Linked DNA regions of Oreochromis niloticus. The protein of the gene in region 2 purifies or fractionates together with the protein of the main gene of each other region. This does not show direct contact. Links are inferred from orthologs where the notes say so. Each region holds a gene or a part of one and is shown on either strand. Other genes may lie near its edges.

What was found. The genes of interacting proteins can lie anywhere in the genome.
Region 1: the proteins of etv6 (region 2) and lrp6 purify together in Homo sapiens (affinity purification with mass spectrometry; 3 studies listed by BioGRID and IntAct, counting the BioPlex papers as one, with this or other methods). This does not show direct contact. The link is inferred for Oreochromis niloticus from reciprocal best matches to the Homo sapiens genes ETV6 and LRP6.

What each region holds. Positions count from the first base shown.
Region 1 is NC_031981.2:21,753,960-21,761,944, forward strand, and holds the start of lrp6 (low-density lipoprotein receptor-related protein 6), read right to left. Parts: upstream 3,101-7,985; 5' UTR 2,702-3,100; coding exon 2,647-2,701; intron 1-2,646. UniProt on the Homo sapiens protein: Component of the Wnt-Fzd-LRP5-LRP6 complex that triggers beta-catenin signaling through inducing aggregation of receptor-ligand complexes into ribosome-sized signalosomes.
Region 2 is NC_031981.2:3,497,570-3,505,344, reverse strand, and holds the start of etv6 (transcription factor ETV6), read right to left. Parts: upstream 3,479-7,775; 5' UTR 3,097-3,478; coding exon 3,067-3,096; intron 1-3,066. UniProt on the Homo sapiens protein: Transcriptional repressor; binds to the DNA sequence 5'-CCGGAAGT-3'. Plays a role in hematopoiesis and malignant transformation.

The sequences.
Region 1 (7,985 bases), about 18 Mb from region 2:
GGGCGGTCTGAAGTTTGGGAATGTCTGGTTTACAGTGAGGTGGCAAAAAACTGCACATAAATTATCCTTGGCAGAAAAAGTTAAACAGACAACCTGAACTACGACATCTCAGCCGCTTGGTGAGGTCATCATCCACACAGTGAACAGACACTCGTCCGATCGGTTCATGGGTTTGACTGTGACAAATTACTGTATGATCATTTCAACTCTTCTAACTCAGCAAAGAGCTGGACTTATTTACAGGATCTGTACCCATATGTGGTGCCATATTTTCAGAACAGTGGAGATTTGCACACGAGTCACCTGCAAGAGTTTTACTTACCCTGTTTGTCCTTCGTTCATACTCACATTTAAATATAAAGTTTAAGTGAAGCTGAAACCTAAACAAAACTCATGAATAATCAATAAGGGGGGATTGATGGAGAAACTGATTCAGGCAGAATATATAATGACTCCTGTATGTGTATGATCTGATCAATAACCACCCAATCACCAGGCTGCATTACCACCGCGTCCCATTTAAGTCGTGAGTCAGAAAAAGAAACTCGAGCATGCAGGTGCAGGTGGTGGGATTAGTTAAACCCAGCTTTTTTTAAACTTGGCTCTAGTGTTGAACCGCAGCACAGCAGAGAGCAACGCGAACACCCTGAAGCCTCTCTGCTCTACATACGTCATTGCTTTATTAATATTTTTAATCTTGGACTTAAACTCATTTTATGGAACTTGCGCAGAAAATTGTCTTTCTAGCAATTTTTTCTAAAATTTCTTGCTCGTTATCAGTTGCTTTTTAATACTTTTATATACAGCCTTTGTTTAACTTTATTTTTGATAATCTGAGTTTAAATTAGTGTTTTTTCCGTTGCCTTGGTACAACTTGCTTATTTCAAACAAATATATTTTCATTCCCACTTTTTCTGTCATTTATATTCCTGATATACAGTGAATCAATGTTTATTCATCCCAGATGCAGAGTCTATAGAAACAAGTCACAGAAGACAAGAAACAAGATAAAAACTAATCAAATACCCCCAATCTCCATCCCACAGAGTGATAACTACACCAGTGTCTCCACAACGAAGACTGACAACATGCAGCGCCAAATCTTTTATCTGTTAATCCCACTCAGAGTTGGACTTTGAATTCTTGCTGTAATCTGAATTTAACCAACTGTTAAACATTTGTTCTGGTACTGAAGATCCAGAAATGTTCGTTTAAATGACACTTACACCTTACATTCGTGCTTTGGTCTCATTTTATCCTTAATGTGTAATTTATTATATATTAACTGTTGCAACAAAAGGAATGACCAAATATAGGATAAAGAAAGCATTTTGTATATTTATCTGATTGTCCATTGTTACGCTCATATTTCTGGTGTAATTTGATCACAAAAATATGGGGGGAAAAAAACTAAATACATAAAAGATAAACCTGATATTTAAAAATATTTGATTTACAAATTTTTAACACACCTAATTATTGGGTAACAGTTTGACACTGAAACCTGTGGAATGAATATGTGATATGATAAATGAAAATAAATCAGAGGAGGCAGCGTAAGTTATTACGCTGTATTTCAGTTTTTAACACGGTTTCCGTTTTTAACACAGATAAAAAACACGTTTTTTATCTGTTTTTAAAAAAATATCATCTCTCACTGACCTATAAACTTTCTTTACATAAGATGGCTTTATGTGCTTTATTTTTCATCCTCTAGTGTTTACTGGATATTATCAGGAGCTCCTCAGGCCAAGATGATGATCTGTATGATATCGTGTGAGATGTGCTACACAAATAAAGTTAGGCCTGCTGAGTTGCTGTGATATAGTATTTCTGCTCTACTGCACAGGCGCGCTGTGTAGCAAACACTAAACTAAATTTAACGGAGCATTTTTAATGGCGATGACACCTTCATAAATTTACTTAATTCGGTTTACTTTTCTAAAGAGATCCACCTCGGACTCATGTCCTGGTCTCATTCTTTACATCCTTTAGATCCACCTGGCAGTTCGCTTTCATTTCTGGTGTAATCTGAGTTTAGAGGGTTTTTCTTTTCTTTTTTGCAGTTTTACTGTTTCTTTAGTGTCAGATTTATACAAATAAATTCATTTCTCACAGATGTGTCCAGTCGTGTAGCTGCTCTTTTGTGTGTAATGCTTTACATTTATTGGCCTTTCTTTTCTTTATTCTGTTCATTGTTATCAATAAAGTTATTTTTCCATGTAGATGGTTTATTAGCTATTAGCTCACTGATGCTAACCAGCTCGCTCCCTAGCATTTGTTATGCTAACTGCTGTTGAGCCCGATCCAGCCTGTTTTTAAGTTACAAAACACAACCAGGAGCGACCAACTGCGCCAAATACATACTCCCGCGACAAAAGGGTGCGCTGGAAGGGAAGCTGGCGGTGCTGTGAGTAGTCTCTGGTGGGGTATTTTCCAGCTAACAGGGCTGTTTGTGGTTTCTCCTCCAGCAGCAGCAGCAGGCTAAGCTAGCTCGCTCCACTCGGGAGAAATCCGACCCGGAGGCCGAGCTCCAAACATCCACAGAGAAGGGAAAAAGCTCCCCTGGGCTGCCAACACCACTTTTTCGCGTCTTTTACGCGCGGGGACGTGTGGGTAAAAGTCACAGTGTGGACACAAACTCACCTCGTATGAGAAAACAAAAACTACACAACAACAGACTCCGCAGCGCGACACCCATCTTTCTCCCGATTCTCGGCCCAGCCGCGGCGGCTCCTCAGCGGAGTATTCCCATTGCTGCGGCCGCTTCCTTGGCTCAAAAAAAAGCGGATTTCCCAGAATATTCAGGTCGATGTTCGGCTCCGGTTCGCATTACACCGTGCCCGCTTCCATCCCGGCTGGCTGCTCGCTAACTGCGTCGGATAAACTCTCGGTGTCTCACATTGTCCTGCAGGAGCTCCGTCGTCTCCTTCCGCTGTGAGGAAGCTGCCCCCCCTCTCCAGCCTCCGCCTCCACCTCCACCGCCACCTCGCTGCCCGGCTCTCTATTGTTGTTCCGCCTCACAGCCGCAGGTACGCTCACAGCACGGAAACGTCCCGCAGAACCGACTTCGAACCCCCACAGAACCCCACCCCCCAACACGGACGTTAACCCCACATTCCTGCGGGACTACTTTATCACACGGACAGGGGCCCCAGAAAACAGGGCCCCAATATCATCCAACGGCAGGGGCGTTTCCAGGGGTTTTTCATCAGGTGGCACAAGGCAAGGGGGGCTCAGGAAATGGTTATATACTATATCTGCTTTTTTAAACCAAATTCAGTCATTTGGTAAAAAGCTTTTAATCAGCTTTGTTTGTTAAATCTCTGCATCACAACATATCTTAAAAATCTAAGTCTATGTAATGCCATAAAACATCAGAAGAAACACATTTTCACCAGAAACCCACAATAATTACAGATATAGATTAATCTGACACTTTTGTTTGATTTTCACACAAAAAAGCCATTATGTGGATTATTAAAAAGTGTGAAAACTGATATTGTAAATAAACCTACATAACGTAATAGATTTTACAGTGCTTCTGTTCTTTTTCTTAAGAGAAAAAGAACAGAAGCACTTTTGATTCTAAATTTTGATTCAAAATTTTGGATTTTTACACTTTTTACTGACCTATAACATCTGATTTCAGGTTTTCTCTGTTTCTTTACACCCTATAAAGTTTACATGTTGCATTTTTCTATTTTTGATTTGCATTTTAATGTTTTATGCCTTAGAGAGGCAAGGTTGAGATGGGCAACAGCAGACAAGAAATGGTGGATAGACATGGAGCTGCCAGGCAGGATGTAGTACATGAAGAGATGATGGAGAAAAATGCTGGGGATAGTCTGAGATGGAGGCAGATAACCTGTGGTCTGTGGTCACCCCAAAAGGGACCTTTTAATTATATTAATTTCATGAAAGTAGCATCCCAGTGCCCAGAAAGTAGATAATCACTTTTTACAATATTATTATTCCTTTATCATTATTATCATTATTATTATTATTAAGATTTTATTCATGAAATATCAGCCCCAGTTTCAGGTTTCAAACATCAGAAAATGCAAGATTTCTCAAAAGCTTTCAGAGGGAGAAAGTTCACTGAGGATGTGAGGCCTCAGATTACAGAGTACACTTCCTATTTCAGAGTAACAGCTTTTCTAAAATCTCTTGCTGATTTAATAAAGTGTGGATCACTCTTGTCTTATCTAATGAATGTATCTGTGGGAGATGTGGAAGTGAAAGCAGGGCTGAAAAATTACAAGCAAGGTGGACCGGACGCAGATGTCCAGCAAAGAGGAAAGGAAAGCATCTCATTTACAATATTTCAGAGTTTAATCAGCAGGTCAGCAAAACTGCCTCACAGTTTCAGGAATATGAGGTAACTTGTTAACATATTAACTACCTGATCACGTGCCCTTTCATGAGTTCAACCACAATATCCATCACACTATTTGATCAGTGACTGAGTTTTTAGGATTGGGTTTAGACTTGATAATACTTTTGTAAGTATGGCGAATATCCACATGAAATTTCAAGTGCTGAAAAACTCATTTAAGCTCTGTTAAAAACTTGAATCATTCGAGTGTCAGTATCATGAGATAAATCATTACTTGAATAAACTGCACCAATTTAATGTTATTATGAGGATTTAGAGCAACAGGAACAAGTGTTGAAACCATGGATGTTTGATCTGTTTTTATAATAATTCAATGAAGAAAACTTTAAAAAGTGCATTCTGGGTAAACTTTCAAGACTCATGTCAGCATGTGTGATCAGTGGCTACTCCCTGAAGTCAGAGCATATCAAAGGTCTCTTTTTTACCTACATTTGATGCCAGGCTCATCTTTTAGCCATGATTCTTTAGGAGTCAAAATCATTCCTGAAACAGAGCAGATGATCACTTTCTGCCAAGCGGCGTTGAGAGCAGCTCTGAAGCACCTGTAGCATAACAAACAGCTTTACTACAAATGTTGAGATTGTGGACTTCACTGGGGTCATCATAAAACACAGGCAACATTTCAAAGGGTAAGAAGGTAAGTATGCTCCTGGTTAGATGAATATGATGTTTGTTATATTTATGATGGCCCCGATGAAGGCCACAAGCACATTAGAGTATTAAAGTTTATTTTTATGCAGTCATGACCAAAGATTTTGGCAGTACCACATATTTAGTGTTTTATACATTTTGCTGCTTCACTTTTTATCTAGCTTTTTTTTATACGTGTTTGTGATGTAGTGAAGAACAATGGTAAGAAATCCAGTTTCAAACACTCACAGGAGAGTCAGTATAATATATGATTTAAGTCCACTATAGTAAATATTACAGTGCTGAGCAAAGATTCTTGATTTGAAGTTTGGGAAGCTTCCTGGCCAAGGATCCAAAATGTTTATTTGATAATCTCGACGCCTCTTAGTTACCACTTTTATCTTGCGACACAAGACAAAAGACATCCTGCTGGAAGATCATCACCAAACTGCTCCTGGATCACTGGAAGAAGTCTGAGGATGTTTTTATTCTAGTTTTTGAGACAAACAGTGATAATCTTGGAACTGTGATAAAGCAGGAGGATCACCATCTGGGGCCCAGATACTGACAAACAGAAGGGTCGACACTGTAAACGTTAACTTTTTGCATACATATTAGCCCCGAGCCATGTTTATGGCCAATAAAGGTCTTTGAAACTTGTGAAATGCTTATGATTGTTCTTCACTAAATCATAAAAAAATTTTAGCCTTCTTCAAAATAATTTTTGTGCGGCGTACATAAATATATCTGGAAAAGTGATATAAAAACTTGAAATTTTGAGGAATTGTCAAACACTTCCCAACTGTTGAGCCTGCACCATGAATTTGTCCAAAGATGGAGCTTAGCTGGACACGATAGAGAAGAAGTTTGATCAAGAACAGCATCGACCAAAGACGTCACTCAAGTTTATGAGAAATCTGCAATAACATAAGACTGAGACCTTTGGGAGTTTGTTTGCAGTTTTTAACAGAGGTTAAATGTGTTTTTTCAGCTCTGAAAGAAGTAAAAATGCTCAAAAACTTATAATACAAGTTAGATAAATCCTAAATTTAACAGCAAGTTACTCTGAAAATACACATTATATGAAGGTAGAAGCATGGCTCCATGACATATATTTAATTTTCTGTAGATTTAAAAAACAGATGGGTCAGGTGGAAACTTTTCTCAGATTCAGGCTGATTATTTTTGTTGTTGTAATGAACCTGCGCCCAGTTTGGTTAATACAGAACAGTAATAAATGTGATGGTGTGATAAATGTGAAATTTTATTTAACTTGGAACAACTTTACAAGATTAATTTTGATTATTTGCTGGTGGAACACCCAGACGATACAAAATCACAGCGGTTCTATTTAAAATCAAACACACTCAGGAAAAAATAAATCTGCAGACTCAGAAACTGTTCAAAAATCAACAGTTTTTTAATCCTTACAAGAACAAAACATCAAAGTTCAAACTTATGCAAAAGCATCACTTCACAAAACAAGACCAAACTATTACCATCCATGTAATTATTAATTAGGCAATCAAAGTAAAAATCAGAGCAGTATCAGTGAAAACGCCTCATTGGTGCAGCTTCAGTTTATCGGACTGCTGCTGCTGCCACCTGGTGGTGAAGTGACGCTATAGCAGTCTCGTTTCTGCACATCCAGTACAATACAAATGTCATTATAGGAAAATAGTGCGCAGCAAGTGTCCTCTTACTTATGAAAAACAATCAGCAGATCATAATTATTTAAAAAAAAAAACAGGATACAATAGTGCATCGATTTTCAAAGGATTGCATCCATCGTTTGAATATTTATCCACATGTGAAATACAAAATACAAAAACACCACAGTGAGAGAGTGAGTCTGACATCTACACCGGTCAGGTGATTTAAGAAGCAATCACAGGCTCGTATGGCTGAAGCGTGTGGGAGGAAGAAGACATGCAGGTGTATACACAAAGGGCCCCGCGACCCCGTGGCGAATCAGAAGAAGGCCAGAATCTGAATCAGAGTCCGCTCGTATAGTTTCTTCTCGCCAGTCCACTTCAGAAGCTTCCTGAGTTTCTACGAGTAAAAATATTGCTGTTTGTTCTTTGTTCCATCGTCAGCTGAAGTTTTGGACCAATGAGCTTCCCAGCAGGACTCTGAGCTCATCATGTGATCTGAGAGGCCACAGAAGGGCAGTGTTACCGCCTAAAGTCTGAAGGCTGCTTCAAAGTTGCACTATCACTTAATAAGACTTAAAAAGATCGAGTAACAACTGAGGAATTTGTCTCATGAGAAGTCAAATAATCTAAAAAAAAAAAAGCCAAAAAAATATCTCAAAGTTTGATTTTTTTTTCACAAAATAAAAACACCTCAAATAAATTCTAAGAATAGTTTTTAAATTAAGAGATATTTTGTCTTCATTGTGAGAACTTTTCAATATAAGTCTACCATTTTTTCTTTTGTTAAAACCAATAACAGAAAAATTAAGGTATGAAGTCCATGATTGGTCCGTGATGACTTTAAGGAGGTGGAGTCTGAAATGGAATGAGGTTGGCATCCTTGTACTTTACCTACAGACTGTATATAAAAGATGGACATGGTCACTTAAGGTGAATAAAGTTGAAATAATCAGCAGTGAAGAAATCATGTGACTGGTGAGTTTGTTGAACGACTTCTTTGTTAGAAAATCTGGAATGGGCGGAGTTTGTTCGCTATTGTTATAAATATAAAGTTCGGCTAGCTAAGCCAGCTTAGCTTAGCTTTTACAGGGTTTTTCTTTCATCAAAATTGGTCTTATGACCAATTTCTTTAAATAACAAAAGTGGTGATCTCTTTCAAAACCTAAACATACGCAGGAAATTTTATTTTCAGATATTAATTGAAATGGCACTCATGAGTTTTTGATAGTGCTAGCTGAAACAGCATGGAGGCCACAATTTGTCTACTCAGAAAAAAAGTTACAAAAGTATGAACACACAGC
Region 2 (7,775 bases):
GTTTTCATTTTTACTTGATGAGTCAAAATGTGAGCATTATTTTCATTCTTGGACTAATCTAGAATGAAAAGAATTAATCATATCAACATGGTCGAGCAATAAAGTTGTTATGTTGAAGTGCATCACTTTAACATCTTTGGGATTTTCACTGTTTGCTAGGAAACAATCCTCTTCAGTGATTTCTGGGAATTTAGACACTCTACACATAAATATCTTTAGATAATAATCAGGACATAATTAACACAATTGTTAGTCAGCGTCCTTGTATGGACGTGCAAGCGAATTCTGTGTATTTGCTTTGTTTTCTTTCAGATGGTTCACTGCAGTTTGCAAAAGCTTTAAAATGATGTAATAACAAAATGATGTCTTTTTTCCTTTCAACACAAAAATCCTTTTCATGGTTAGTCAGTACATAGGTGAATGCGAGACTTTCAAAGTTCTGAATAACATAAACTATCTTCTAAGAATTTCTCAGTCAATAGTCAGGCAACAATGGGAGTTTTTCACTGGTTTCTGCTCCTCGAATGTAAAGATTTGCACATTTTTATGAGAATTCTGCTACTGTTTATGGCCTGCACCGAACGTAGGCTAAAGGTATGAGGTTTTCCAGTTAACTGTAATTTTCTGTTGACTGGTTTCCTTTCCTGCAAAGCATGATTCCACCTAAGTTTCTTGAGGAAATGAAGCTCAGGGGTTTTTTTAGTTAGTTTTTTTTTTTGTTTTTCTTTTTCTTGCCGTTTCACCTTCCAGCCTGTTGTCACCACCCAGCTACTTTGAGACCTGCACAACAACTACATGTACCAGGAATTTCCTGTGGAACCCCAGCAATAATCTTCCAGTCTTCTATTTCCTCCTCTCACAGGCAGAAGGCCTTTCTCTTGACATTCAGCTGTCTAAAAATTCAGCTGCCTGCGTCTTCACACAGCTTTGCCTGGGTCTGTGAAAACGCGACCTCTGGGACCAACGGAAAGTGATTTGCAACAGAGCCGAAGGTGAGGGGGAGTCGTCCTGTCTCGCTCTGACGGTAAAAGTTCTCAGAGGGAAGTTCTGATCATTCCTCGGGAATCGTGCCCTGACATCAGACTCAGTAATGAGCAGACATCCCTCACAAACAAAACATCGTTTTTCCTTTTCAGTTACTGGACAGTGCGCATTGCTTTGAGCTATTTCAGTCTGACCTTGGCACCTCAAATAATATTTCTATTATTACATGTCCCAGTTACAGTGATAGACTTGGATTTTTGACTAATGTCCAAAAATAAAAGCACAGAGCCAGTTTTAGTGTGACAAAAACAATAATCGGATCTGAAAATTGTTGCAGGTTAATCAGCTATTTTTAGCATTCAGTCTCTGCTGATCAATATTGTCTCCTTGTCCTCATGCTGCAACAGTGTATCATCTTCATTACTGATTAATCAATGGATCACACAGATCACAACATGCTCTTGGCAAGCACAAAGTGGGTTTAAATTGTTTATACGTAGTATGACCAACGGCTACAAAAGCCAAAATATTAGAGACGCACTGATATATCAGCTGATATTGGCCGCATTCACCGAAACTGATGACAGTCAATGACATTTACTTTTATTATCAGTTTTACATTTGCTAAATGTCTGACAACAGCGTAATAAAGTCTTTATAGTTCACTTATTTCTTTTGAATCAATAGCGATACTTGGCGATTTTAACATTTTTTAAAATGCAGAGTGCCCTCTAGAGGTCACACTATGAAATGTCAGCACTCGCAACATGTTTTAAGGGTGTTTCTCATCTTTAAGCTGTGTACACGCTGTAGGTATTCAAAGTGCAGAATGAATGAACATAGGCTCAACTTTTAGGCGAGCGATTAAAGTGACTATCAGCGAAAACGCAGAATACCACTGAGTGACTTATAATCTGGTAGTAAATGCATTAAACACTTACCTAGAAAACCGGAGCCTGGAATGTCCACAAGTAACCAAGCACCAGTTTTAAAACTATGTGCAATAAGCAAATCACTTCCAGTGTGGACACAGCTTAAATTTTTTTTAATCAGCTGCTTTTAATGCAAATTCCAATAGACCAGCAAATAGCTAATATAGCCCAGTATCAGCCAACAGATAAATCAGTTGGAATCTAATTTCTTCAGACAAAACACACAAACAAAAACAGAGTCAACACTGACCTAGCATCAGTATCGGTTTGTTGTTTGTAGTTAGCTAGCTATGTTATGTTGGTGGATAAAATAAGTGTTCAAAATTTGTGTGAAGGCCTTTAAAACACACAAGTCATTTCTTATTAATATTTTTCTTTCTTTTATTTCCACTGAGGACCCCAGAGGACAAAAAACACTTTTAAAATAAATATATAAAATATCGGTATTGGTATCCGTATCTGCCCAAAATGTCACAATTGGTGCACTTTTTTAAATGCCTGCATTTGCCTGCAAACAGTTGCTATCAGAAAAAAAAATAATTGCATGAAATCATGTTGCATAAGGATGCATGCACCTCTAATGCACCCTTTCCCTTTTTGATTTATGTTTTTGATGAATTCCTCGTCGCTAAAAAAAAAAAAAAAAAGGCAGGAAAACATCAACCATTCCCCCCTCCCCAGTACACTGTCTTTAAATGTATGGTTCAGTTCAGCTCTAGAACAAGCATTTCTTTATCCATCAAATTCTGCTTCAGTTGCAGTCCTAACACCCACCTCCAGCTCGTATAGTTAAAGGGGGAAAAAAGCTTTTTTACTGATGCTGCACATACATGTAGGTAGGTTGCAACTCGTTCGCCCCCCGATCTCTGCTTACTTTTATAGGGGGGTCGGTAATTCAAACAGTCACACAGAGTCACGACTTCTTCCAATCATGAGCAGAGTGGAGGCGAACTCAGAGCGTGGAGCCGCGAGCAACAGATGACTAGCAAAACAAACTGAATGGCGCTGTACAGCCGTCTGCAGGAGGTGATACAACCCTGGCGGCTCTATCACACGGAGCGGAGACTCAAACCAAACAGTTGAAATTGTCTCCTGAAGACAAACGAGGGAGTGCGTTAAAGGGGGTTGGGGGGTGAGCGGACAGTGTTACCTTGTTCGCAGCGGAGGAGGATTCAGACATTATCTCCAGTCAACTTCTCTCCGTCCACTTTTCCGTCGCGCGCTGTTCTTTATCTTCTTTCCTTTCTTATAGAAACCCGCACAGCTGCAGCGCGAGCGGCAGCCCGACTGCTCGGCTTGTGTTTGTGGGAGAAGTTGTTTTTTTCATGTAGCCCGCTTCTTTTCCTTTTTTTCCTTCCTCCTCCTTCCTTTATTTGCTGGCCGGGTCCATAGCGTGGTCGTCGGTGTGAAAACTTCTTTTGTCTGCGTGTGTTTTCCCTTCACATGTCGGCAGCGCGCTGGTTAATAATCCCTTCCTGGAAGAGCGAGACCGAAGAGAGAGAGCGAGCTCGACGGACACCTCTCTCTCTCGCTTTCTCTCTCACTCTCTCTCTTTCTCTCTCTCTCTCATTGATCTGGATGTGTGTAAAACGGCGAAATGACGTGAATTCCCAGCATTGAGCCTTGCCCCCTTTTAAAGGGAAACCCAAAGCAGGAAATCGCAGGCAGGTCGCGTAGCTACACACACAACTGCAGGCGAAGAGGCTAAAAAGACAGACTGATTTTCTTTTTCTTTTTTGCCTTTTCTTTTTTTTTTTTTAAATCAAAGCTTAAGGCAAATGCGGTTACACAATATGCTAAAACCTCACGCTTTAATTAGACAGACTGCGGCACAAAAATACAAGGATGTAATATGAGATGAATTAGTTCACATTTACTGTAAAGTCGCCTCTGCTCATACTCGTACTTTGTAAAGCCCTTGTACGCAAGGTGTGACTGTAGTAATACTATAAGAAACAAATATAAGACTAAAAAGAGTTTTAAAGTATTTTTTGTCAAGTGATTCTAAGAATTAACAGGCCACACCTCAATGGGCTGTTTTGGGTTTTTTATGTTTGTTTTTTTAGCTTTATGAGAAAAAGCATTTAGGTATAGTACACAGACTGTATGTTGAAAATGGACATAGCTACCTCAGAGCTCTGTATCTGGAAAAAGAGACGAAAAACAGCATTTGTTTGGTGCTTAGCAAGCTAAAGCCAATACAGCATTCTACTTCTTTTATTTTTGGCTAAAATCATCCCTGCATTCAGTGAGTCACACATGCACAACATTGGAAGCACAGATTAAAAGATTTACGGTTTCACTACCATTTAAGCTCAGTGCTACTCAGGTTAACTGCTGGTGCTACTCTGACTTGAGGGGGGCATTCCATATTGAAATTCCAAGTGGGAACTCAGAAATTCTAACTTTTTCAGGACTACACCATGATATGTTACACAAACAGTGTGTTCCACTTGCATTCTTTCCAATGGCCAGCAGGGGGCTACTCCTCTGAACGGATATTTAGAGATTTAAAAATCTAATATGGGTTATGACAATGCAGTTTGAAAATTTCGTTTTAGTGTCGTAACTTATCGTGGCTTACTCTTTTACACTCTACTCCCTTGGTTGCAGATTCATACCATTTAGCTCTGAAGTCAGATGCTGGAGTCGGTGTTATGTAACACTGAGTTAAGAGCATTCCAGTAATGAAGTCAAAAAAGCAAGGAAATGTGTGGCTTATTTAGCAAGTCACAAATGCCGAAGATCAGTGGTGCACTTTTCAAGTATTCCAGTTTTACTAAAGCTTACGTGCACTCCTGTGATCTTCTTTTATTAAGTGGGCATTGGTGCTGCTTTGACTTTCTAAGCTGGAAGTCCGGCTTGAGTGAGCATTCCAGCTGAAAATTTCAACTGGGAACTCAAAAATTCAGTTTTTCAAATGGGATGCACCAACAGAGATCCCCTGCACCGTGACATCAGTAAACACATTTTTCTGATGTCTTTATGACATTCATTCTGTAAATTATTAGAGTCATTAGAGATTCATAGAGTCACATAGATCCAATGCAGAAGTCTAAATCAGTTATCAGGCAGTATCTCTTGTTATTTTCTACACATCTTCCTACTGAACCCCTATTGGTATAAGCAGTTTGTGAGTGTTTTCTAGAAATTCTCCATTTCTGGTTTGTCTTGCACTTTTCACAGTTTCACTACCAACTGAAGATTTGACTTGAGTCAGGCTGATATAGGATTTTTAAGACCAATACTGATATTTAGCACTTTAAAAACCTGATATATCACTCTCTATTTTTTTCCTTGACACAGGCACCACATAAAGTTTCTTAACATTCATTATGTCCTGCTGTTTATGAGTCTTTACAAATATAGAGTGACAGTGAAAAATAATCTTCTTTTATTTTATTATTATTATTTATTTTAATATTGGTCAATTATCATCCACATATAGCATCCCCTACCAATATATCAGGCATGTTCTACTGGCAAGTGTTTGCTTATAAGTTGGTGTCGTCCATTCAAACTATGGGTTCCAACATTCTCCTAGCAAACAAAACAAGACCAAATAGGTTTTCGCCTGCTGGTCGGGGAATACGCTTCCATTCAAAATGGAAGACAAGCGTGGTTCCCAATCATATCAGTGGTGGTCAAACCTCAGTGCACACAGTGGGTATGTGTAATATGAAGTAATGACAAATACACTGATAATTAACATCACTCTGCAGTTCTCCTCAGCCACATAAAATGCTTAGCCTCTTTTTCTTTTCTTTTTTTTAGCCTTTTTTAGTGTTTTGATTTCATTTGGTTCCAGAATATTTGGGTTAGCAGTCCAAAATACTAGAATGAACTACTGGATTTACTACAGTTGGTCATTGTTATTAGTCATCTGTAAGCACTAATAGCTTGTTTTTCTGCCCCCAGATAGGCAAAATCCAGTTGATATTTGAAGAAAGAAACTGATAGATTATATAGGATATAGTTACTGTAAAATAAGTTTAAACATCTTAATCAAGTATGGTGCTATGCATCTTAGACTCTTGACCAAGTGACTATAGAGCAGGCTACTTAACCTGGTCATTGTGATCCTCTTGGTCAGATTTGTCTGTATTCCTTTATGATACTAAAGAAAAATGTGGCTTTTTCAGAGTAACAAGCATAATAGTTTCTGGTGGCAGCAGATGGTGGAAGAAGTGACAGGCAATAAAAAAAGGGGGGGGGCGAAGGAATGGAAAAATCACTTCCAACATGTTTATTCTCCTCGGAGTAAGGGAGGGGGACAGGAAGCAATGAAGCTGGTGGGGAATGTGCTGCACGTTAACAAGAAAATGCAGATGAGTGATGCCGGGGAACTTTAAATGTTCCTCCTGCTGCTGGAGGCTAAGACCTGGTGAGCTGGTTTCCAGTGCTAATGAAACATATCCGTTATAATGTGCTGGAAGTTCATCTAAATGAGAAAAACAATTTAAAAGTCGATAGTAAGTTTTTACATGAATTTCTGGTTAAAAATACAGCACAAATTTATTATAATAGGCAATAAGCCCAATCCTTCTTTTTGCATGTTTGAGATGGAAACAAACTGCAGGCAGGAGCCGTTCTGCTGCATGTTTCCAGCTGGTGGGACTAACAGATGGCATTAATGGGATTACAATAATCGGATTTTTAAAAGTGGCATATGTAATCTTAAACACCTACTGTAAAAACACAGTAATCTGATTACAGACTCTTTGAAGAGAAGAATACAGAAAGCATTTAGATAAAATTAATGAGGCTTGTTTTTGTTATAGCATTACTGGAAATGTCTTCACTCTGTTCAGCTGTGAAGCAGAAGAAAGCCGTTCTTTCTTTCCATGTTCAGTCGAGGTGTAGGCTGCATTAGGAGGTCATACAGCACGGTGACTCCCCCAAGTGGAAATCAGCAGCATTACAGCATCAGTCCAAGATAAAAAAAAAAATAGTTCAGTTTCGCTTTCCAATCATCAGAAATGATGCCGAAGTTTTCTTCCTCACATGAAGCCATCGTCCGCTGTCGTCAAGCTGCGGTTTGGTCTCACAGGCGGAAGGAAACGCAGGCAGAGCTCGGACACGATGGAGACAGAAATACTGAAAAGGATCTGCGCCAATCAAGGAGCAATCAAAACTGAGGATTTAGTATGTAATCTATTTTCCGGCGATCCCACGAAGTTGTCGGAGATCATTTGTAACCGAGAGAAATTTGCTCGTTGTTGTCCAAACGGACAGGAGAAGGTGGTGGCCAGGACCCACCTGAGACTTTGCAGAGTGAAAGATTGCCCGGGGACATGCAAGGGTCTGCACCTGTGTAAAAACTTCCTCTTCGGATTGTGTGAGTTCAGTCAGCTCAGGTAAATGTACTAGACTTAAAGTAAATAATCGAGTTTACTGTATTGGGGTATTATTATCTCTGCACACCGTAAACATGTGTAACGTGAGGGTTCACTAGATGGTTTGGAATCTCTCTGAATAATTAGGAACAGCAAGAGGGAGACGGATAACTTTTTAGCAGCCTCTTTACTCTCAGCACACAGCAACAACAACAAACCCACACTTCCTGTGTGCCGCCCTCATGAATACTTCACTGGCCTCTCAGAAGCCAGGAAATCTTATACTCAGATCAAAACAGGGAAAACAACTAGGTAGATATAACACATACTTATTACTGGTTTGAACATGCATGTCTAACCATTCAAACGTGTAAACATGTAAATATCAAAACACGTAACCACCAAATAGCTACATAACTACCTTTATAACCTTTGTATATCAAATTAGATTTAAATTTACTTCTACACTTTACACATGTAAAGCCATCTGCCTAGTGTTCATTGGTTTCCCTCTCACTCAGTT